3 linked regions of the Caenorhabditis elegans genome follow. The protein of the gene in region 3 interacts with the protein of the main gene of each other region in a pairwise test. Each region holds a gene or a part of one and is shown on either strand. Other genes may lie near its edges.

Region 1 (7,120 bases), on a different chromosome or scaffold from region 3:
AAGAACATTGACGAAAAGTTAAATGTATAAATGTATTACATTTTATGTAATGAATTACCTAGGGGAGTGCTGCTCATCTTGAGCGTTAGCCAGTGTAATTGAAAGGATTATTATAATAAGCAGGCAGGTGAGACAATTGCACAATTTTCTCATTTCAAATCAACTACCGAGGATATGTGGACAATGCTGAGCTTTCGCCATTTTGACATTTCCGCAAATAGTCTCTGACTGTTTATTTGTTGAAGAAAATAACTGATAGGCAACTGAAGTTAAGCTGTTAATTTTTATAGGCTATAATAAATAGAACTTCGAAAGATGGAATACAAACTTTCAAAAATATGCGGTAAAGCACTTTTTTTAATTGATAAAGTAATTGGTAAACTTAAAAAAACTTACTTCAGGGTTGTCAATATTGGCTGAAGAATATTAACTTTCAATCAGAAAGATGTAAACAGAAGTTGACAAATATTTTGAAATGCAAAATTTATTTATAACAATTTTTACAGTACTCAAAACGAAATTGCAATAAAAAAATAATTTTAAACTAGCTTATTTGATTCCACACCTTAGATGCCCTTCTTGTCAGTGTGCTAAATTTTTTTTGATTACTGCCAGAAGTCTCCCAACAGTTTCGAAGTATTTTTAAAATTTGACATTTTTGTAGATTTAAATCAAAAAATAAATATGATTTTCCAAGTTGTCGTCACTATCTTGTTGGCATTTAGTGAAATAAAACTACCGACAAAAAATATGTTCACGTAAAAATATATAAAAAATCAGAATAACTGATATGTTCAAAAACGTTGGTATTAAAGTTTATTGTGCAAAGTTGTAGTCTATGAAATGTTTGGTGATGTCAAGTTTCGGGAAAAAAACCACCTCCGATTGTTAAGTCTAATAATTTCTAATCAATCAATGTGTAAAATTTAGAAATAATTTATTTCAGAAACTTCATGATTGGCAGATGACGTTGTTACCTTCACTGAGCCCCTTATTCCTACGGTAGGTGCTCGCCACGCCTCTTCACACATCTTCTGCGATTGTTTTCGAGTTATCACCAATTTGACTCCTACACTATTTTCCGCTGTATTGAATAACAAAATATCAGTTTCCATCCCAATCAATACTAAAACTGTGTATCCAGTTTGGTCAGCTTCCGGTCAGTTTTGAACATTCTGTCTTTATTGTCCGCTACCGTCCCCGCTCGTACAACATTTTGTGTTTGTCCACAAATTATTGTGATTGCTCTTGTTGTTGTGCGCCCGTGTAAATGCCAATTTTTGTCTGTGTGACTATAAGAATTGAAGTATACGTACTGCAAAATGGCATCCTGGATTGTAACCAAATAGGGAGGAAGATACAAGAAAATGTATCGAAATATTACATTTTTCTTCCGAGATCATATAAATCGACACATTCATGGTTCGAACAAGTTTATATTCGTTCATCTCTTTCTAGGTTGATGTTAGATTTTCTGCTAGAAATTCTTAAACTACCAAGTGTTAGAAGACTTGTGTGGTTAATACAAACTTTATAGACTCATCCCAACCTTAATTCCAAAAAGCCTAATCGTAAAGTAATGGCTCAGAATTTTTTGATTTTGTAAACTCAAATTCTGAGTCGTCCCTTCTTCTATCCAACTTTTGATCATGAAAAATTATTATGATCTGTTATGATTATACCTGTACCGCGCACAAAATCAGCTTACTAACAGTGTTAAAATGCTCCACAAAACATTTTTAGCATTAAACAGAAAACCTGATTTAGTTATTAAGTATACATTTCATCACCGTTAACAGTAATATTTAAGACGATTTATTATTAAAACAGCAAAGGAAATGAAGGTTACCTTATAAAACTAAACATTCTCATTTTTGTTTTAAAATCAAAGCGTTTTTTTCATAACCTTCTTTGAATTCTTTGTGTTTTTTCAATTCTCAAAAAATCTTTATCATTTTTCTGAAAACTAAACCAAACGAATTAAAAAATTTTACTCACATGTTAAAACCATTTGTATCTTCGACTACAAATTTTGGCCATTTTGTTTGTCACAAAAATCCGTTTCTGATTGAGCTACGGTAGATACAATTTGCATAATCTAACAGATTCTCGGCGTTTTGAGATATCGGGAACCAGTTAGATCTTTAAAACGATATCTATTTTGGAATGCACTTTTGAGATTTGGATACAAAAGTTCATTCTGATCAAATTGACACTGGAGGTCTTGTTAAATTATTTCAATAACACTGACATCTTCTGGTTTTACTCTTTCTTTTGAAAACGGCATAACAACATTTTTTTACAATATATTACAGCTATTTCCTTTCAAAAATGATAGTACCGGACACTGAGGGATTGTTAATTTATTCGTATGGACTGATGTACGGTTCATATTGTATGGCATGTCAAATGTTGATTCCACACTTTCAATGCATACCCGGCATTTTTCCAAACTTTAGAATTTCAACTGAACTCATCAAGACTATGACGGATAAATTGGAGCAACCGAACAACAACGTTCCTCAACAGCCATGGGGCCCTTTTCCTCCTGCATTCGGTGGCCGGCCAAGTGGTGAACAGACTGATGGAAATCCAGGAGAGTTTGATAATGATGCTGCACATCAACAAACGGCTCCGTTCATGACTCATTTCTTTCCAAGAATCGGTGAGATGTTTGTCAGAACAAAACTAGGGCTGTGATTCGTTTTTTATTGATTTCCATTTAAGTCAAAAAATTTCAAGAATTCGTAATTGTATGGCTGAAATTTTTTGTAAGTGGGATCGATCAGTACATTATCACTCAGTTTACATATAATTTGAAAAAAAAAACGAAAAGTAATTGCTAAAAGTACTCACCAATTTGCCGAAAAATCTCTACCAACTTTAGCAATGCCCATTCCAAAATTGAGCAACTTTAGCAATGCCCACTGCAAACTTTAGAAAAGTTGAGTAAAGTTGGTTAAAGTAGGAGATGATTTAAAAGATACTACAATTGGGAGAAAAGCTGCGAGATAGTATGGTTCGTTATAAAGCTGCTAGTGTTTCTTGAGAAAATGCGGCAAATGGTCGGTCATTTGAAATACTTCAAACTAGAGCTGCAATCTCTGTCATATTTTAAGTTTGGGAAAATTAATAAATACTTACCCAGCTCAGGATAAAAGTTTCTGGATATATATCTTTTCTTTATTTTCTGATCTTCATTTTTTGAATTTCAGGACTTCAATTCCCAGACTTTACCGAGTACCAGCGTTTTAATGGCTTCCAACGAAACGCATTCTTCCCTAATCCATTCGGATCTCAGTTCACAGGCCAAGCATTTGCACAGTCGTTCCCATTGCACAATTCAATGACTACCATGGATGGTTTCAATTTGACACATGCTCCTCACCCGTTTTCAACAAATACAAACTCTACAAAACCTAAGGACATTGAAAACACGGTTCAAAGTACAATCAAACACAGTTCGGAAAACATCCAGGATAAGCCACCAGTGTTGTCTGTGGAATACCCTGTTAAATACGATTCTGAACTGAAATTTGACGCAAATGTAGATTTCACAGCAGTTCCTAAACAGGAGTCTTCAGACGATTCAACTCTAAAAAATCTCAAAAAATCAGACCAACAGCTACAACAACCGCAACAATTTACATTTCCACCTCCATTATTAGCGGAGAAATCATTTGAGCAGCCCAGGTAGATCGACTTTTAAAGACAGTTGTAAAATATCAACTGATAAGTTTAGAATGCGAGAAGACGTTTTACCTTTTCATCCACAATTCTATCCGGCACCACTTGACATGGGCACAAACTTCAAGCAAGAAATGAGAACTGTAATCTCTTCACAATTAACAAAATCTAAACACCAAAAATTTCAGCCACCAATCGACGGGCACATTGATTACAGAAAATTTGATGCTAGCGGAAAGAGAATGGAGTTTCAGCCACCGGGTGCTTTGCATGACTGTCAAGTGTGTTTGTCAACTCATGCTAACGGGCTTCACTTTGGAGCCCGTACATGCGCCGCATGTGCTGCGTTTTTCAGGTAAGAAAGCTCATAATGCAAGTGTATTTAGATGGCCTTTTGCTGTTTGAGACTTGAGAACTCTAGAAAACGTCTCAAAAAAAAACATTTTACGGTTTTTTAAAATATTAGATAAGCTTAGCTGAAATCTTTGATTTAAAAACTTTGCGTGTCGCAGCGATTGAAGGTTAATTTTAATTGTTTTGTAGTTAAATGAACAGAATTGAAACAAAAATCAATTTGTCAAGCGCGTCAAAAATTTTTGTAATATTCGCAGCTTTAAGGATTACTTTTTTCTGACTTTAAACCATCTTATAACTTTTTTCAAAGTATCATATTAAAACAATTATCGCTACTACATTTTTGATGATGATTTGTTTTGATGTTTTGAATGCTTGTAAATGTTAAAACACACTGTTTAATTTTATTTCGTTGTCAATGCTTCAGTTCAAACCAGTATGACTCAATAAAGCCTGTGTGCTACACAGAAAACTGTTAAGTTAAAAAACCCCATCATAAAATTTCAGAAGAACTATCAGCGATGACAAACGATATGTCTGTAAGAGGAACCAACGGTGCAATAATGCAAGCCGCGATGGAACTGGGTATCGGAAGATTTGTCGGAGTTGTCGAATGAAACGATGTCTGGAAATTGGAATGCTTCCAGAAAGTTGGTTTTTTTTTGTCAAATCATAATGCTCACCAAATTTATGTCAGATGTGCAGCACAAGCGAAATCGTCGAGATTCTGGATCCCCGCCTCGTAAAACTCCATTTGACACTTTCTTCAACGGATTTTACCCCTCATTCCAACCTTCTGGATCAGCAGCTCAACCGATCACTGTATCCTCAAGTGAATCACCTCGTCACACAACTAATTGAGCGTGATAATTGTTTATCTTCCGATCTCAAAGCATAAGTTCCAGTTCTATTATTACCGATACTCACAATGTGATTCAATAAAAAATAATTTACTTCGATCTGGAAAGGGCTAAGGCAGTTCTTTCATAAAACGTATTGAAACAGTAAAAACGGTCCCCAGTATGTAAAAGAAACATCGATCTGATCAGTCATACTATTTTTCTAATCAATAGTTTTTTTTTCAATTAGATAGTGTTTTAATAGTAAGTTTTTCTAAAGTCAGGAAAATAAATATCAAATAATTATCTGATTTTTTAAATGTAAAATTGGAATAACGAGGCAAATATTTTGAAAACATTTTTTTTGTTTTCTGTGTAGAACAAGTTTTGTTTTAAATGATATCATATAACCAATTTCATTTAACAGTAATTAACTAATTTAAAGATATTAGGCGTCGTGGTTACAATTACTGCTTTTTGGTTATAATTCTTTTATGAACATTTGCACATACTGTTTAATTTAATTTTCATTGCAACTTGGCTAACGGAGAATGCTATTATCTTCTTACTTTTGTAATAATTATTTTGTACAACATGTGTAGTTGAAATTTTGAAGGAACACAGCAACCAATGACAGTATTGAATAAGAAACTCGTACTCAATTTGAAAGATACTTTTCTATATTTGCTTTATTGCGCGCTGTGATGCAATTTATACGGAAAAACCTGTCTATATGTTGACTTGCGATAGTTTTCCCTGTCGTTGATGACAATCGCAAAGACCTAAATTCCGTGGAATGTTCTACCGGGAATCTCAACATCCAATTGACACCTGTTGTCATCTGGGGGTATAGCTCAGTGGTAGAGCGCTCCCTTAGCATGGGAGAGGGCTGGGGTTCAATTCCCCATACCTCCATAAGTTTTTTGCATTATTAATCGAGTTCATTTACATAAAGGCAAACATCTATAGCAGCACTCTAGCACTCTGGTAGAATGGTGTTATTGGAAGTTAAATGAAACTAAATATAATAATAATAATTGTTAGACTCAGATTTTTTTTCTTAATAATTGTTAGACTCAGATTTTAATGTAAAGTGTTATTCCAACATAAGTGGTTAAGACTAATTTCAAAGTTTTACCCATTTTTCAATTGCAATTTATTCAACAAAAAATAGACTTTTAGGTAGATCTGTCTGAGGAATGCTCAATAAATTTGAATCATGGGGATCAATAGTTGCAAGGAGATCCGAGACTGAAAGTAAGACTGGTGTAAATTTAACAAAAAATCAATAAAGAAATGCTTGGGATGAGCGAAATTTTGTTCTATGATATTATAATTTCAATAAATTATAACTTAATTTAAATGGGCGAAAAATGATAAGGCTTTTGGGAGAAGAACTGGGGTTGAAAGTGATAAATAAATAAATAAATATAAAACAAAAATTATGAATTGCCTATGGAGCTTTGGACCGTTTAGAGCTCGATCCAGCTCCCTCTTCATTGTCGCGGTGTCTTTTCTTTTGCTCATCGTGTTCCTTCTCTTTTCTCTCCTGACGCTCCTTTTCTTTCTTTTCCTTTCGCTTACGTTCCGCGCGTTCCTCCTCAGTTTCGTGCTTTTTATCCTTCTTCTTGGGCTTTTCCTCCTCCCGATGACCATCTTTCTCCTTCTTAGCCTTCTTTTCCGCTCGTTCACGTTCCTTTTCCTTTCGTGCTTTGCGCTCCTCTTTTGTTTCATGTTTGGATGAAGAAGATGACGAAGTAGAAGCTGCCGATGAAGTTGATGGAATGTCGTGTTTGTCCTTCTTATGTTTCGAAGAAGAAGACACTGATGCAGATGCAGATGTACTTGGCTTTGATCCATCATCCGACTCGGAATCATCAGATTCGGAGATAGCTTCATCGTCTTTCTCGAGACCTTTGTCTTTAAGTTCTGCCAAATTGCCACGGTTCAGTGTCAGACGGTGGTGGTTAATGTTGTCATCGCCAAACTTGGGGTTTCTGAAAATAAAAGTTGTTATGCGATATGCATTTAAGTTTTTGATGGCAAGATCTACAGTGAATATGGAAAATGTAAACACTTTCTGATTTTCAAGGTGTAAATGTGCTGCTTTAATGGATATTGGTGGAGTACTGAAGTTTGATACATTGTTATTTTAGACCCAAAATGGTTCAAAAAAACATAACTTCGAAGTTTTTTAAAAACATTTTGAACTGGCAATTTTGAATATTTTAAGGCACTAT
Region 2 (8,685 bases), 5.6 Mb from region 3:
AATATATTAAAATTGGATGCACTTTTGTGCTCTTTTCCATTAATTTAACCCATTCTTTTATTTATTAGTTATCGCCTTCTGTCGTGTGTATGTGTGTGTCCAAAACCCTTGCCTCTCTTTCTCTTTCAACCCAAAATGCGTCCATAAAATGTTTGAATGAATTAATGAAATGGGGAGTCGTTTACTACGCTGCGTCTCCTTTAAATCACTTGATCTCTCATTTTCTCTTATATATTTCCAAATCATAAGAAATTTTGAAATATATAGAAATTGAATGACAGAGAGAGAGAGAGAGTAAGAGTAAGAGCAGATGTTTGGCAGTCAGACAACGGGGGGACCGAGGCCCACATTAAAATTGAATGAAAAATTTCGAAAAAGAAAATTTTTATTTTGCATTCACGAGTGGTAGGGGAAAAAGAGGAAACAGCGATTAAATATATAAACATTGAAAACTTTTGGGCGGGGTTTAGTGGAGCAAGTGGGAAAGCTTATGAAGATGTTTGAATTCAGAATGTGAATTTGAACGTTTGGCCTAGAAAAACCAAAACTTCGGCCAGCGATATTTTTTCTTATGTAGGCCAGGATCAGAGCATCCTTTTTTGCTACATGATATAAAAACCTAAACTTCGGGAACTAATTAATTTTTTTCAGCAAACCTTATCTACAGTTTTCTGGATGCAAGATCTTTATTTTTAAAAGAGCTGCCGAGTTCTAGTATTTCTAGACCACTACGTGTGGCAACATTCTTTCTCTTCCTATTTTTAGCTCTATATACCCCGGTTGACTTGATAGGCGAATTTAATTGAGAATTATAAATTTTCCATTTTCCAAAAAGTAAAATTCCAAATTCAAATGTTCTTTCTCCCACTCCAATATTGTAACATACAATAAAATTTAATCCTATCTCTCTTTCCTCTGTGCTTTCCATAACCTCTCTTCCATTTTGCCCGTTGGTGGCAGGCGATGGGCGGGTTTGACATCGTCCTTTAAGAATAATAAAATGTGTCATTTGGTGCCCTCTTTATCTCTATTTCTCTATTCCTCTCTAACTCTCGTTTACAAAACGCCACCTGCTCTCTCTTTCTCTTCATTTGACCCCTCTACTCCCAACACCCAAACAGACACCATCCTTTGTTCCGTTTTTTTTGGTTTTTTGATGGTGGACAGTGGTGATGGACATTTCGTTTTACTCCATGTTTTATTTTATTCTAATGTGCTATGTGTGCAACCAACATCTGCCTTCCACCGGTATAATGAGATTTTGACTAGGGAAGGGTCAACTCATGGTCACGTTGGCGACTCTTTTGGGACTTTTGAGTGAACATTTCTAAATTGTAGATTTTTCGCTATGGCCAGTTGTCAACCCTAAAAATTGGGATTTTCATGGTTTTTAAGGTACTGTTTTTTTCATGCAATATTTCAAATTCAATTATCTACAAACAAAAATATTTTCTGGAAAATATTCAACTGAAAAGCCAGCTGATATTTTCCAGCATTTTGTCAGTTGATAACTTTTTTCTAGCATCACAAAGTTATGATAATTTAAAGACTCTCCACACTTCCAACAGAGGTAGCAAAGAAACGAAAAGCTCTCGCTCAATAGGGTGCTGAGAAGCTAGACTCTGCACTCTCTTTGCAATTCCAGTTAGGAAATTTATAACTAACTAAAAATTGGCAAAAAATATTTTAATATTCTGAATTTATAACGAACTTTTGGCTTCTGGGGTAGTCACTTTGAAAGCTACATTTTGACGCGCCTTTTTTAAACGCCTTTTCGAAAATTTTATTTCAAAATTCGTTTAGTCTTCAGAATACAATATGATTCTGACATTTTTGGCAGAAAATTACATTTTTCACACTCCGTGGGAGGTCTATAAATTCGTTTTATGTTAATCGTGGCCAGTTAAAATTTTCAGCGCGTGCGCCTTGAAACTTTATTTTTCAAAAAAAAAACTTTTCCCCCCGATTACGCCTTCCCCAATTCTCGCCTATTTTGTTACACAAATTTAATTAAAATTTTTTCTAAAATTTTCATTATTTTCTCTTTCCCTCTCTCTTTTTCTGCAAAACCCACCTAGAAAACAATTTATGTGAAATTAAATTGTTATTTACTGCGCAACCGGAAAAATAAAATAAAATTTAAAAATTTGTAAAATGCGAAATCAGCAATTCAAGTATCTCTCTCCCTCTCTTTCTGGTGTCCTCGTCATCCACTACCAGCCACAAAAATAAAAAAAGAATTTCGCATTTTTTATGTGATTCAGAGAAGTGTCTCCCGTATTCGAGTACTATTTTCGAGTTTTGCAATACATCTTATCAAAAATATATGTTTTGGGGTGAAACGGGAAAATAGAAAGAGAGGGACAAGTGAGAGAGCAGAATTTAATATTTTTGATGACTTTTTCAAACAAATTTTTTTTGTTGAAAACTTTTTCCCTCACTTTTTCACATTTCTTATCATTCTTCTTCGCTTTCTCGAAATTTAATTTCATTTTTTAAACGCATTATCAATATGTTATACTTAATATTTCAGATCAACTCAGATGATGCTCCAACCGCCAACTTTAACGCCGAATGCGAATGGTGAAGAGTTCAGAGGATCCGTCAGTACAGATCGTAGTTCAGCTTCTCCTTCCAACATTGACGTGAGTTTGGATTTTCATCGTTTTGATGTGAAAAAAGAACACTATAAAAAATTACAAGACATATAAAAAAATTTTACTGTATGTCTTTTTTCAAACTTGTTCCCATGTCTTACATATTTAAAAACTATACATTAAGCTTGGAGAGAGGTTCAAAATTTTTGAATGTCTGAAAACCTACATGGGCGACCTCTAAAATTTCTAGACTTTAACAACAAAAAAATTGTGTTCTAAAAAAATTTCGCAGTTTCAAAGATGTAACGCAAATACATATATTACACATTTCTCAATCTTTTCTCTTGTTTTCGCACTCGTTTTGCCCGCCTCCCTCATTCATTTTCACAATTTCTCTCTCGTTTATTTTTTGCCTCAAACATCTCAAGATGATTTTTTATTTATTTCGAAGAAACTCGCAATTTCATTTTTTTCAACATTTTTGCCTCGCTCGTTAAATGTAAGAGAAATAGACATATTTTTCGATATGTATTGAAAAAATTGAGGTGAGAGTGAGAGCGATGAAAATGTGCTAATTCAGAAGGCAAACAACTTTTTTTTTCGATATAAAATTTATGAAACATTTTTTTTCGTTTTCCATATTTAGAAGTGCTTTTGGAAAAGGTTTAGTTTTGCCTTTATGCTCACTTTGAAATAAAATTTGCCGCTGTGGGACTCTGTGGGACTCGGAACCACACATATTTTGTTTTCCCGCTCTTTCTCTCCCTTTTTTCTGTTTAACAAAACCTTTTCAAAATAAAAAAAAGAGCACAATTTTCTTTTGGTTTTTTTTTGCGTTGTCCCCACAAGAATTTTATTATTTTATTATCTACACATTACACGATAGAAAATAAAACGTAGCGAAAATATTATCAGTTATCGGAATCGTTAAAATTATTGAAAAATTATAGATGAAAAAAATTCTTCTTCTTTTTCTTTGATAATGATAGGAATTAACAGAAAATTTCAATTTAATGATGATTGTTAGATGCTCGCGGAGCACACGACAATTCCGTAAAAGTGCGCGAACAAACAAACAGACTGTTTTTTTTGTTGAAAAAGCGAACTTTTCCTCCTCCCCTTCTTTCAATTTGTGCTCTCAAATCATTCATTTTTCCTACAAACATAAAAAACCCAATTTCTTTCGATTTTCCGTATTTTTTATGGCGCTCTTCTAAAACCGCACTATTTCTTTTCCATTTTTTTTCAATCAAATATTTATATATTTTTTTATTTATTTTGAGAAGGAAAACGGACAGGGGGGAAGGCGAGGTGGTGGTTGAGCCAGCAGCCCGCTCCCTCTCCTGTCACAGCAGCACCCAGCCACCACATACATACAACCCTCAATTTGAGTGAATTTGTGACCAATTTTCTAAATTTATTTGGTATTTGTTAGGTTGCTGCACGAATTGCTCGAATATAAATATATCTGATACATGAGTTTTTGCAATTCTTATTGATCAAGCTTAAGCTCTTCTCTAATTCTGAAATATTTGTAGGAGATCATGGAAGACGATGTGAATCAGAAGGACGAGGATGAAGATCTGAACTTAGTGGATCGTGTCAGCAAGCTCGAGACAAATTTTGTATTCATTCAGCATCAGGTGAGTGAAAAACTATTAATAAATTATTTTATTTTCTAAATCGAGAATGAAAGAAGTAGAAAAATATATTTGCACAACAATTTCGACAAGTGCAATGTGTAATGCAACAAGTCATAGGTGTCTAGTATTTATTTTGAAAATTTCCAAAAAAAAACTCGACTAGACACAACAATAGGCTTACCGTCCGTCACACATACTATTTTTTTCGATTTTTCACCCGTGGAATTCATTTTCATTTTCATTCACAAAGTTTACATTTGACCATCTCTCTTTCCCTCTGTCGCCCTGTCTCGGGGCTCACGCATCGTATACATACCGGACAGAGGAAGCAGATTGAAGAAGAAGAAGTGAAGACAGCGATCGTCAAATAGTGTGTTTTGTGGGAGGAAATAGTAGAATGATCCAAAAATAAATTAAATGTCAACATTTATTGACGCGGAAAAATGGAAAAAAAATATAATTTTATCGTGGTGTTATGAAATTTAAAATATACATGGACCCATTGAACTGTATGTTTCCAGCTATCCTCTATCATGAACCATCTTCATGCTCCACAATGCAAGTGTACAACATGCTCCAAAGTCAACCAACCTGGAGCTGAAGAGCAGAAGAATGATACATCAGTGCTCTCGCAGCTATTCCCTAATGCTTCTGATCAGCAACTCAAGACTCTCCTCGATCTCTCGAAAATGAACAAGTTGCCATCACAAGTTGTTCACAAGGATCAACAGAACGGATCATCTTTTCTACCATCAGCAAATAAGACCTCTGAAAATCCAAAACCTATTGAACTGAAGCCTCTGAAGCTTGGACAAGGCTATCAGATGGCGAATGGTGGAGGTGGAGGCAAGATTCATACCGAAAGACTCTCAGAACCAGCGAGAAAGCAGAGCCGGAAAGTTGGATTCCCACCACCAGTTGCTTCATATTATCAGAGAAAGGAGAGCTCGAATCGTAAGTTCACTATACAACCACAGCGCAATCTAGAAACTCTAATTTTCAGCTTTGGTCCCGCCAACTCCATTGTCGTCCATCCCAAATCTGATTACAAATTCCAATGCAGTATCAGCCAACACTTCAACAGCTTCACCAGGACCCTCCTCGGAAGGAAGTGGTGATGATCATCTTGAGGCTCCAAATGAGGTGGCTCACATGCATTCTAGTACCGTACCAGCTACACCAACAACTCCAGGAGCCAACTTGTTCACTCAATGTAAGTAGATCCGCATGTTTTTTCTTAAATTTTTGCCAATTTCAATTATGCTAAAGGGAAGGAAATCTAACTTTAAGTAATTAGAGCAGTACTTGAATTATATTTTTTATCAATGCAAAACAAATTAATTTTTAATTTTTCAGCTATGGTCGATATGCTCAAACTGAATGCACAAAACGCTGCTCACTCGACAGGTTCTCCTGGATTCTTACGTGGACGTGGTCGCGGACGTCCAAAGCTTATCGGAGATGAACTTGATGCTGATCTCGTTGACTACATGGTTTCCCTGAAGAACTCAGATCCACATGGTGGCCACTTCACCGCATCTCAGGCCCTGCATATGGCTCGTCAATACATACTCGAAAGAGCTCCAGGCCTTCTCGAAGAGCATGGAGGTCATGTAAAGCTGAAGCTCACCTGGGCGATGAAGTTGGTGTCGAGAATTGGGGAACGACAGCGGGAAATCGAGCTAGGACTTCCAGCCGGAACACTGTCGAATATGGGACGAAACTTGACAAATATACCGGCTGGTGGCAATTTTATGGCTGATATGATGGCTCAGAACATCTTTTCGCAGCATATGATGATGGTGAATCAACAATTGGAAGGTGGATCTCCACCAGCATCTTCTTCATCAACTGCCACGACATCGACAGCCACGAAGACAGTGAAGCAAGAGTCGAAAAATGGACATCAGAATGAGGAAAATTTAAATGTGAAACAAGAAGGTGAGTTGTCACGGGTTCTAGTCCAACTTCACTTGAACCTTCTCTAAAATTATAATTTTCAGCCTCCACGATGCCCGAAATAATAAATATCAAAGAGCTCAATCTTCCATTCCTCAACAACTTCCTTGCCGAACTAAACGACAACAACTCGGGACTGATTGACGGTGAAATTGGTGCAGCAGGTCCATCCATGGCTGCTCTTTTTGCTCCGAACGCATAATTTTTAAAAACATTTTTTTGTTTTATTTTCTTGTTGTAACATTTTACTACTGAACCTCCATTCATCTCAAAACAGACCACCCGATTTTATGGGTATTTTTCGATATATTCTTATTGTCAATTACTTCTACTTTTTCCCTGTCATCACCTCTTCCTATATGTATCATTTTCTACACATAGGCATCACTTTCAACATGTTTTATACTTGCTTTTTTTTTTGATTTTCCAATTTTCCAATTTTCCGGCATCAACATTCACAAAACAAAATATGTTAACAAAATTCAAATTAACAGTATTCAAATAAATTATACAATCAAATATTTCCTTTTCAAGTATTATTATAGGAACGGATGAGAAGTGCCACGTAGGCAATTATGCGAATTCCGATGAACATTCCAAACAGAATTGAAATATCAAAAATTTTATGCGAAGCCGAGAAATCGATCTGTAATTTTAAACCATAAAAGCTTGAACAATGAAAGTTCCACCTCGTTGTGAAAAACTTCTTTTGAGCATTATTCGATGTTCAGAAAATAAACACCAAAAAGTCTACGATTTAGTTTGGTTAAGTAATCCAACACTGAGAAACAGATTTTTTAAATGTTCCTAAATTAATTTCTAATAATCCAAAACACTAACCGATTCCAAAACTTGATGCCCATTTTTTGGGCAGCTATCCAACGCAAACGCAGTCATTGAACTATTGAAACACTCCGGAATCACTTTGATCGAATCCCATTCATTGATCGCGAGAGCTTCATAACCGTATCTAAAAGATTTGTTATTATATAACACAAATCATCATGTTTACTTGAAATAAGAGAGCGAAGAGAGCCATTTAAAGTAAGATGGAATGGCGTCAAATGTTATGAAGAATCCTCCAAACGCCATAATTGGAACTACAAAGATTGGAAGTATTGTCATGGCTACATCAGTGTTGGCAAAGATCGTTGCGACAGCGTAAGCTGAAAAGAAAAGAATGAAGCAGCTGTCATCTCACAGGTCAAACTGAGCACAGCTTACAAATGGAAATTGCCACGTTTGTAATCAAAATTGTTACCAGCGACGCGAAGCAATAGTTCCAGAAGTTAGGATAGAGCCCAGACATCCAGTAGACAATTGTATTGTATAGAATTGGAAGGATTATGTATTGAGGGAGTTCTGCAATGTTTTTCGCAAGAAAATATGCACTCGTTCGATACACTCCATTTGCATTTTCTCGGAGTACAATTGGAAGTTCTGCCGTAATAACCTGAAGATTAATTCAAATTCTGAAATTAATTGGCTGCCTGGTACCGGAACATTTGGGAATTGAAGCATAAAGTTCATATTTCGAATGTGGTTGAACATTATTCCATTTATCGATATTATCGTAGCAGGTGTGACTGGAGTTTGGAAGAATACTATACCAGTTATAAATGCAGTTATCTATACAACAATATAAATAGTAATAAAGCAGTGACACACTTACAAGAATTTGAAGTAACCTGACAGAAAGCAGATTTGGATCCCGGATTACTGTCAGCCAAGATCTCCAAAAAAGAGCAAGAAATTGTGTCCAAAATGATGCATTGTAGCTGAAATTAAAAATTTCCGAAGTAATACTATTGAAGTAATACTATTGTTAAAGCATTTCTCCTATCTGTGATGTTTAAGCACCAAACAATGGAGTTCAAATCAAGATTCAAAAATGTGATAGGCAGGCAGGTAGGTGTAAATGATAGGCAGGCAGGTAGGTGTAATACTTTTGATGTCAAATTTTTCCAACTCACTCTTGATTAAAAAACGTTTTTGTTTTCTCAGATGTATCACTTCCTGTTACAAATGACGCTGCTCGAAGTTTGTTCGCATTTCCAATTGCTAACACCGACTGGCCCAAGTCCGTAGACAAAAATCCTTGGCGAATTTTCTTAAAACAATTTTATTGAGTTGTATATCTTTTTGATTCTCACCGAAATAGTTTTCATGGAAGTTGCTCGATCACTATCAATTACGGCCAGAGTCCTTATCAGATGATCCGCAGGATTATAGTATGCCGGGCATGGATATCCACATTTTTCAAATAACGGCACCGCTTGATCACCTGGCCCCAAGTATATGACACGCCCACAAGCCATGAGACAGACACTGGAAGATTTATGAGTTTTGGAAGAAAATATTGCAAAAGATACTTGTTGAAAAGAGAGTAGACATGACTGCTGGGTTGATGAATTGTGATAATAACTGTCATTCCATTATCCGCCAAACTTCTGAGAGCTTGAACAACGTGACCTGAATTAAAATAC
Region 3 (8,069 bases):
TGCTTAACACATTGTGAAAATTATTAATTTAATAAAAACATTGATCGATGCTTAATGGTTTTTCAAATATAAATTACTGAAATGTGAAGCTTTCGACTAAATTTTCAAAAGCTCATATCTACAGAAGAAAATAGGAAATACAATTGCGATTAAAAACATTATAAACATCAAAATATTTTAAGCATTTTAATAGTTGACTATTTTTTATTATCTCCAATTTTCATCGAGATCGAGAGCTTCAAAAATAGTACTTTTTTGGATTAAATACCCAAGCGATTCTGGCAAGATTTTATTTTGAATTCGGAATTTTTTTGTGTCAGCTTTCAGGGAATATATCCTTCGACCTATAACTCTCTGGACACCAAACAAAACTCCCTAGTTATTTATTAATCCTTAAAATGTGAAGAATTTAAAAATTCTCATGTTTGACTGGAATATAAAGACCTAAAGCACCTATGATTTTTTAGAAAACTGTAATGGCTATAAAACCTATCAAAAGGTATACAGTATACATGAATTGATATACTTTTCAATATTAAAAATATCATACATTGTACTAGTTAGTCAAATTGGGGAATTCCAAAAATTCCCAGGGAAATGATTGTGCCTAAAAAGATATTGCCAAACTCGAGAATTTTCCAAAAAAAAAGTATATTCTACCATGGAAAGCTATTTAAAAGACCCCAATTAAGGTATAACACTGCGAAATTTCAAGCGCCACAGCCTTGCTCTCAACCCCTTAAATTTTGAACTGAGCTTATTATTATTTTCGAGGCTTGTACAATTGGATTTTTGAAGGCGTGTAATAATTTTATAACTATTTGAACTTTCTGGAAACTATGTATTTTTGACTCAAAAAATACTGTGCATTTCAAAAGTCAATTAAAAATCTCTTTAGAATAATTAAAACCGGCAAAAACAACGCTTTTACAGGCCTCAATTGTGATGGAAAATTCACTGAAAACATTATACGTTTTTTTTTCCGGAAATGACAAAGAATCGATATTTGGATATATTCCAGTGTCTCAAAACCATGTGCACCACTGACTGACCTAGCTATATATTTTACAACCGTATAGAGTCCCCGTGTATACTAATGGGTATACAGTTGATTGTAAACATGTGGAGAGATGTTGATGTTGTTCTGAATATCTTTGTCTTGTTTTACGATTTTTTTGGTTGATTTCTTATATATTTTTCCTGCTATAAATTCTAAAATGTGCGTTTTAATTTATGCCTACGTGCCTGCCTACCACCTATCTTCTGCAATTTGGAGTTTCGACTGTGGAGATACGTTTGAATTGGTTTTTTTCGCATTTCAATGTAAAAAAAGTCTCTAGGCAGATTTACGGCTGTAGGCGCTTTAGTAGGTGAGCGTAGGTTTGCAAAAAACGTAGGTCAATAGGCATGCATATTCCTTCAGGCAGGCGCAAAGGCCCTCAGGTATGCATAGGCTTGTAGACAGGCCTGAGTCTATAGGAAAGTGTAGGTCTGCAGGCATTCGGTCTCTAAGTTTGCGTAGATCTTGAGGCAGTTGCAGGTTTGTAGGCACTTGTAAAGGTAAGTAAGTAGGCGTAGGTCTGTTGGCAGGCTTCGGCTTAGATAAGCAGGTTCAGGACTGTATGATGGGGTAGGTCAGTTCGAGTTGTGGGCAGGAGTAGGTTTGTAGGCTTATAGACATTAGGCCTATAAGCATGCGTAAATCCGCAGGCACGTGCAGGTATGTAGGCAGGCGTAGGCCCGTAGGCAAGTGTAGGTCTGCAGGCATGAATGTAGGCATGGGTGTTTGGAAGACCTGCGAAAATTATTTTGGAATTCACGAAAATATGGTAACTTGCTAAGTTTCGACGTAGCTACTTTTACGTTTTTTTTTTTTTTTTTTTTTCATTTTTTTGTATACTTTTTCGGTATACTTTTTCCGTATCTTTCTCTCTTTTACCTACTCTCTTCTTTTACCAAATTTCCCTGACATGCTCTTCTAATAGAGGTGACCCCTAACTTCCCAATCAATAGGTACCAAGTATACCAGTTCCGCCTACTTACCTGACAGCCTACTGCTCCGCCCAGTGGATATAGATGGTTCGGTGGCTGGAATATTAAAGTAGTCATTCTTGTTTTTTGTTGTGGTCCTGGTAGATCAAATTTAGCTTTTTTGCTAAATATTCATTATATTTTTTTACTTTTCTAAACATTTCAATGTCTAAAGTAGAATTTTTTTTCTTTTTTTTCAAACATTTTTCAAAATTTATTATATTTTTTTAAATTATAAAAACAAAAACCTATTGTTTTTACAAGAAAACATTTATTTACCGAGTTTTCCAATTGTAACGTCCAAAATCATGGTTCCGGGTCTCGACACGACAAATATTTTTTTTGTTGGAATTTTCACCCTAGTTCTTTCGATTAAAAAATACATGTACTAAGTACAAAAACTCATAAATTTTACCGAAAATAAAAATTACAGTAGTCTTTAAAAGCACACACCTTTTTGAATTTGACAAAAAAATTCATGTCGAGATCGGGCGTAAATTGCAAAATTTCGCGTAAAATGATTTTTTTTTTCAGAATTTTCGAAAAAAAAAATCGGAATTTTTTTTTCAAATTTTCAGAAATTGAGCCAACCTGGAACTTTTATTTTTTTCAAAAAATTATTTTAATCTGGAATACTCTTAATTTTTCTCCAAATCTAATGTCAAATAAACAGGCCCCTTTCCTCCGCACATCTCCACTTTTTGACTGCCACGTCACCGATTTGACCTACCATTTTCCCGCTTTTTATGGGCCCTCTTGTCTTCTATTCCTCCTTCCGCAAAAAAGAGTGTAGACTAACTATAAGATTGTTTCTAACTTAATTTTCGTTTTTTTTTTGACGTTTTGGCCTTATTTAAATATTTTATATATATATATATATATATTTATTTTCAGAACTTATCCCCAAAGATGAATTATCAAAACGAACAAAACGCCTATCAAATGCAGAATCAGGAAAATGTTCCACCGATGAGTTACGGGTACCCAATGCCAACTCCGGAGCAATTCCAAAAAATGAGTTACGGGCAGAACTTCCAAGCTCCATGGGATATGCAGCAGCAGATTCAGATGTTTCAGCAATATCGTAAGTTTAATTTTTTTTTTGAAATCATGGTGCATCGAAAAAAAAATTTGTTTTGTAAATTTCGGGCAAAATAGTAACTTTATAATAGCAATATATTAGTAACAGGTTCAAATTTTAAAAAAATTTCAGACCAAAATTTCCAAGGAGGATATTCGGACCCATTCACCTACCAGAATCAGTATGCACATCAGCCAAAAATTGTGACGGTCACTTTGCAGGACCCACAGGACCTCTGGAAGGAGCTTCATTATTTGAGTAATGAGCAGAATGTGCTTAATAATGGGAGGTTAGTATTTTTCGTGAAAAATATTATTTAGTTTCAAAATTTTTGAAATTTTCTGAATCTGATGTACAAAATTTTTTTAAATTGCTCAATTTTTTTTGCCTGAAAATTTCGTCTGAAAAAAATGAGCAAAATTTTCGGCAAAAATTTTTTTTTGGAAAATTTTTGAAATTTTAAAAATGTAAAAAAGGATTTAAAAAAATATTTTTTCATAATTTTTAAATTTTTACAATTCTCCAAAGAAACATATTATTTGCTTATATTTTCCGAAAATCTTAAAGTCAAAAACAAACGTTCAAAAAAGTAAACCAACATTTGTTTTTATTAAAAAACAATTTTCGGAAAATTTTAATCTAAAAATTTAGTCAAAAAAGGGCGAAATTTTCTGCAAAATTTTTTTGTCCTAAGAATTTCAATGTTTACTTATTTTTTTAGGGATCAAATTTCATAAAAAATTTAAAAATTCATCTGAAAATTTTCCGCCAAAATTTTATTTTTCGGGAAAAAAATCTTAAATGTAATAGTTTCTCTGAAAAAAAATCGAAAATTAATTTTTTAACTTTGAAAATTTTCTCTTGTTTCTAAAGTTATATCGGATAATTTTGTCTGAACAAATTTGCAAAATTTTCAGCCAAAATTTTATTTATTTTTTTTTTTTAAATTTTATTTAAAACCAATTTTTTCCAGAAAAATCTTCCCAGCCCTCAACTACAAAGTCGAGCATCTCAATCCAGAATCCAACTACAAAGTGGAAATTTTGCTCCGCCGAATGGTCCCCTATCAGATTCAATATTCAAATGGAAGCTGGTCCCGGAAGAATGTACAGAGCAAGAAGACTATTGCAATGAAAACAGAAAAAGTATTTGTTGGAGAGTTCACTGGACAAGATATCATGCGTACCGGCTTGGATTTATCAGATGTGAAGGTGTTTAATATTGGAAGTGATAATAAGAAGAAAGTGACTCCATATGAAGAGATGAGTGACGCAGAGAAACGAGAGTATGATACTCAGTATTCGAAGAAGAAGACCTCCATGGTAGGTACTGCCAAAATGTGGGCGGGCGTAATCTTAAGCCGAAGCCTGATTCAAAGCCTAACCCGAACCCTAAGCCTAGGCCTAAGCCAAAGCCAAAGCCTAAGCCTAACCCTAAGCCTAACCCTAAGCCTAAACCTATACCTAATCCTAAACCTAAGCGTGAGCCAAAGCTTTATCCTAAGCCTAACCCTAAGCCTAAACCTATGCCTAATCCTAACCCTAAGAATAACCTAAATCATTAACAACTAATAATTCAAATTTTTTGCAGCTCGAGGTATCAAATGAGTGCAAGTACATCCCGGTACTCATCATCAACGAGATTCTACCAAATCAAGAGCTTCGATTGGTTGGGGAATTTGAGAACGAGATTACCCAATTTGCGACAGTTTCTTCATACAAGGTAAGACTATAAGGCTATAAGGCTTGATAAAAAATTAGAAGAGTTAGTAATTAAAATTGGCTATGAGAAAAAAATTTCTTTCAAAAAAATTCGAAAAAAATCGATAAAAAATTATTTTCAAAAAATCCCAAAATTTTGCCAACTTATATCTTTGTTTGTTTACAAGATAAAAACAAATGCTCAATTACAAAGTTATAGAAAAATACATGATAAGCATTTTGCTAGTTGACAATTTTTTGATACAGCTCAAAATTATTGAGATATAAGATGATGAATTTGAGCTATAAAATCGTCATAAAAAAATAATTGAAAAATGTTACAAATTGAAACATTGTTGCTACTTTATTTTTGAATTTCTTTCTAACAATGGAACAAATTCAGCGTTTGCTAAATTTATTTAGAATTTCAAACAAATTCAAAAAAAAAACCGCTGAAAATATTTAAAAAAAAAACGAACAAAATTAAAAAAAAAATCGCCAAGTTCCTAGTTTTCAATATTTTTTGAAAAATAAAAATCTTTAAATTTGGAAAATTTAAATTTACAATATTTTTCGGTTATTGCCGTATATTCAAAAAATTCACAAATTTTATACTTACTAATTTCTACAATTTTCTCGCTTTTTTGTATTGCCGAAAAAAGTCAATTTTAAAAATTTTCGGAATTTCTTTCGTTTTCCTTAATATTTTTTGGACTGTTTTTTTTCTAAAAAATGGATACAAAAATTCCACAAAATTTTAGAAAGATTCACAATTTTTTATTTAAAATTTTTTTTTACAATTTCTTTAAAAAAAAACAAATTTCCAATAACTTCCGGTCATTTTTATAATCAACAAATTTTCTACAGTTTCCATATTTTTTGTCGATAAAAAATTCGATAATTAGTCTTTTAAAACTTCTTTTTTTTTTAAAGATTTAACCAAAAAAATTCTGATTTTCATCATGATCAAGGCTGGGACCAAAAAATAATTTTACACCAAAAAAAAAACAAAACATTGAAATTTTCGAAAAAGCAAAAAAAAAAAAATTATGCTTCAATTTATTTTAAATCCTATCTATAATTTGTATAATTTTCCAGAACCACATCGTAAAAGCCTTGCGCACAGCCGCCAACCCAACTTCTCGCGGAGACGCCAAACAGGAAGCCGTTCAGGTCGGAAAGCAATGGAGATCATCCAACAAGTCCTTGCTGGAATCCCTCAGACCATCTATGATTTGCACCAGTGTCTCCACAACTGCTCCAAGCACCAATTTCCATGCTCCACTGCAGTACCCCGGCACCTCATCCCCATCCAGCAACTTTGCTCCAATGACACCTTCCACGTCATTCGACTCGGCGTACAGTTCCTTCAACGTGACGTCATCAACTCCAGAACAAATGTGCTACAATCCGATTCCTTCAATGTCAACTGACTACTCATTTTGCTCATTCGACTCTGCGACATCATCACCGCCACTTCAGCCAACAGCCACGTCACCAGAGGCTTCTCAAAATCAGATTAAACTTGAAATGAACCAATACATGTAATTATTAATTATTATCTCACTATTAACTTTTTCCTTCAAAAACGTTGTCAAAAAAGCAACTTGTCGATTTCTATGTTGAATAACCGTTTTCTTTCCGCTTTTTTCTTATTTCAGTGTTTTTATCTAGCCAACTTCAATAATTTCATCGTCCCGTGTTGCTTTTTTTTTTAAAATAAACTTCATTTTTGAATAGATTTTTGGATTTAAATTGATTTTAAAAATTAAATTAGAATTTAATTAAAACTTTGGGGATGTCTAATTAAAAGTATAAAATTTCTAAAAATTTTAATTGGAAACTCTAAATTAAAAAAAAAACTTTCAATATTCAAGTTTTGAAAGTAATAAAATCAAAATTTTTTTAAAATTTTGGCGGGAAATTCAAATTTTCTGAAAAGAGATTTGGCGGGAGATTCAAATTTTCTGAAAAAATTTTTTTGGAGGAAAATTCTAATTTTTTTTAGAACACGTGGTGCCAGGCTGTCCCATTACGGTTTGATCTACAAAATGCGGGAAGTTTTTGATCAAAAAATTGTGACGTCAACAAGCTCTTAACCATGCGAAATCAGTTGGGATGTCTGCGTCTCTTATCCCGCATTTTTTGTAGATCTACGTAGATCAAGCCGAAATGAGATACTCTGACACCACGTGTTAGAAAACATTTTGGCGGAAAATTACAATTTTCTAAGAAAACAATTTTTTGCGGGAAATTCAAAAACTTGGCCACCGATATATATATTTGTTTAATTCGGCCACCTCACTATCCTAACAGACACGATTATTTAAAAAAAGGAGGCCATGGCGTAACCCCATATCAATCGGTGTTAATTTGATTAATGTAATCTGATAGCATTCCCCTTTTTATTTCCATTTCTCTCATCTTCCTTTTCTAGAAGGTCAACATTTAATTTGTCACTCTTCTTTTTTTAGTACTCTTTAGTACGTGGTTTTAAAAATTTTGGAAGCAAAAATTTAAACAAATGTTTTTGTGCAGAATTTAAAGCATAGATTTGGGCAAGTTTAAAAAAAATCAAGAAAATTGAGTGAAAAATTTTTTTGAAATAACAAAAAAAAATTCTAAAAAAAATTTTTTGAAATTTTTTTTCAAAGACTTTTTGAAAGCTTTTCCCATGAAGTTTTAAAAATTTTATTCTAGAATTTTAAATTTCTTTTTTTTATTTTAATTTCTTTTTTTCTAAATTCTACATATTTTTTGCGTTGCGCCTTTTATCGGAGTCGTAAATCAAAATTTCAAAGGAGACAGGGGGTGGGAAACGGGAATTTGTTTAGATTTTATCTCAAATTAAATAGTCTCGACATTACGATATAATGAGGCAAGTGTAGACGTTTTTAGTGACAACCACGGGTTTCTGTTTTTTTTTGGAAATTTGGTTCTCGCCACGAAGTCCGGGGTACTGTAGGTTTTCGTGGCGGGACCAAACATGGAGCAAATCTAGTAATTATTATACTTGAATTAAAGCTCTTGACAAGTAGATTTAACATTCCGAGATGCGATTTTGATTTGGAAAAAGATTATCTAATTTTTTCTAGGATTCCCTGAATAATAATTTACGAATATTTCGAAAAAACCTACCGTAACCGAAACTTTGCAATTGAAATTTTTGACTCACAAAAAAATAAAAAATGTTTAAACAACTTTTTTTTGTGAAAATCAAAGTCAAATTGTCACGAGCTTTAATATGCATATAATCA

Evidence for each region.
Region 1: the proteins of tbx-33 (region 3) and odr-7 interact in a two-hybrid assay, tested with the Caenorhabditis elegans proteins (one large-scale study listed by BioGRID).
Region 2: the proteins of tbx-33 (region 3) and attf-4 interact in a two-hybrid assay, tested with the Caenorhabditis elegans proteins (one large-scale study listed by BioGRID).

The regions. Positions count from the first base shown.
Region 1 is NC_003284.9:12,456,851-12,463,970, reverse strand, and holds odr-7 (Nuclear hormone receptor family member odr-7), read left to right. Parts: upstream 1-2,313; 5' UTR 2,314-2,331; coding exon 2,332-2,665; intron 2,666-3,215; coding exon 3,216-3,693; intron 3,694-3,742; coding exon 3,743-3,830; intron 3,831-3,875; coding exon 3,876-4,042; intron 4,043-4,548; coding exon 4,549-4,691; intron 4,692-4,738; coding exon 4,739-4,902; 3' UTR 4,903-4,992; downstream 4,993-7,120. Other genes in the region: T18D3.5 (uncharacterized protein), read right to left, coding at 59-153; T18D3.1 (WD repeat-containing protein 89), read right to left, coding at 6,334-6,877. UniProt on the Caenorhabditis elegans protein: Required for the function of one pair of chemosensory neurons called AWA neurons that are involved in chemotaxis to volatile odorants. Acts in a pathway that specifies olfactory neuronal fate.
Region 2 is NC_003281.10:6,078,030-6,086,714, forward strand, and holds attf-4 (AT hook-containing protein attf-4), read left to right. Parts: upstream 1-2,533; 5' UTR 2,534-2,546; coding exon 2,547-2,645; intron 2,646-4,135; coding exon 4,136-4,240; intron 4,241-4,761; coding exon 4,762-5,194; intron 5,195-5,243; coding exon 5,244-5,453; intron 5,454-5,596; coding exon 5,597-6,181; intron 6,182-6,243; coding exon 6,244-6,401; 3' UTR 6,402-6,719; downstream 6,720-8,685. Other genes in the region: ABC transporter ATP-binding protein/permease wht-1, read right to left, coding at 6,729-6,845, 7,040-7,169, 7,212-7,365, 7,424-7,652, 7,697-7,828, 7,872-7,977, 8,173-8,309, 8,353-8,527 and 1 more.
Region 3 is NC_003281.10:11,631,697-11,639,765, reverse strand, and holds tbx-33 (Putative T-box protein 33), read left to right. Parts: upstream 1-2,925; 5' UTR 2,926-2,940; coding exon 2,941-3,115; intron 3,116-3,244; coding exon 3,245-3,401; intron 3,402-4,085; coding exon 4,086-4,434; intron 4,435-4,702; coding exon 4,703-4,834; intron 4,835-5,910; coding exon 5,911-6,360; 3' UTR 6,361-6,550; downstream 6,551-8,069.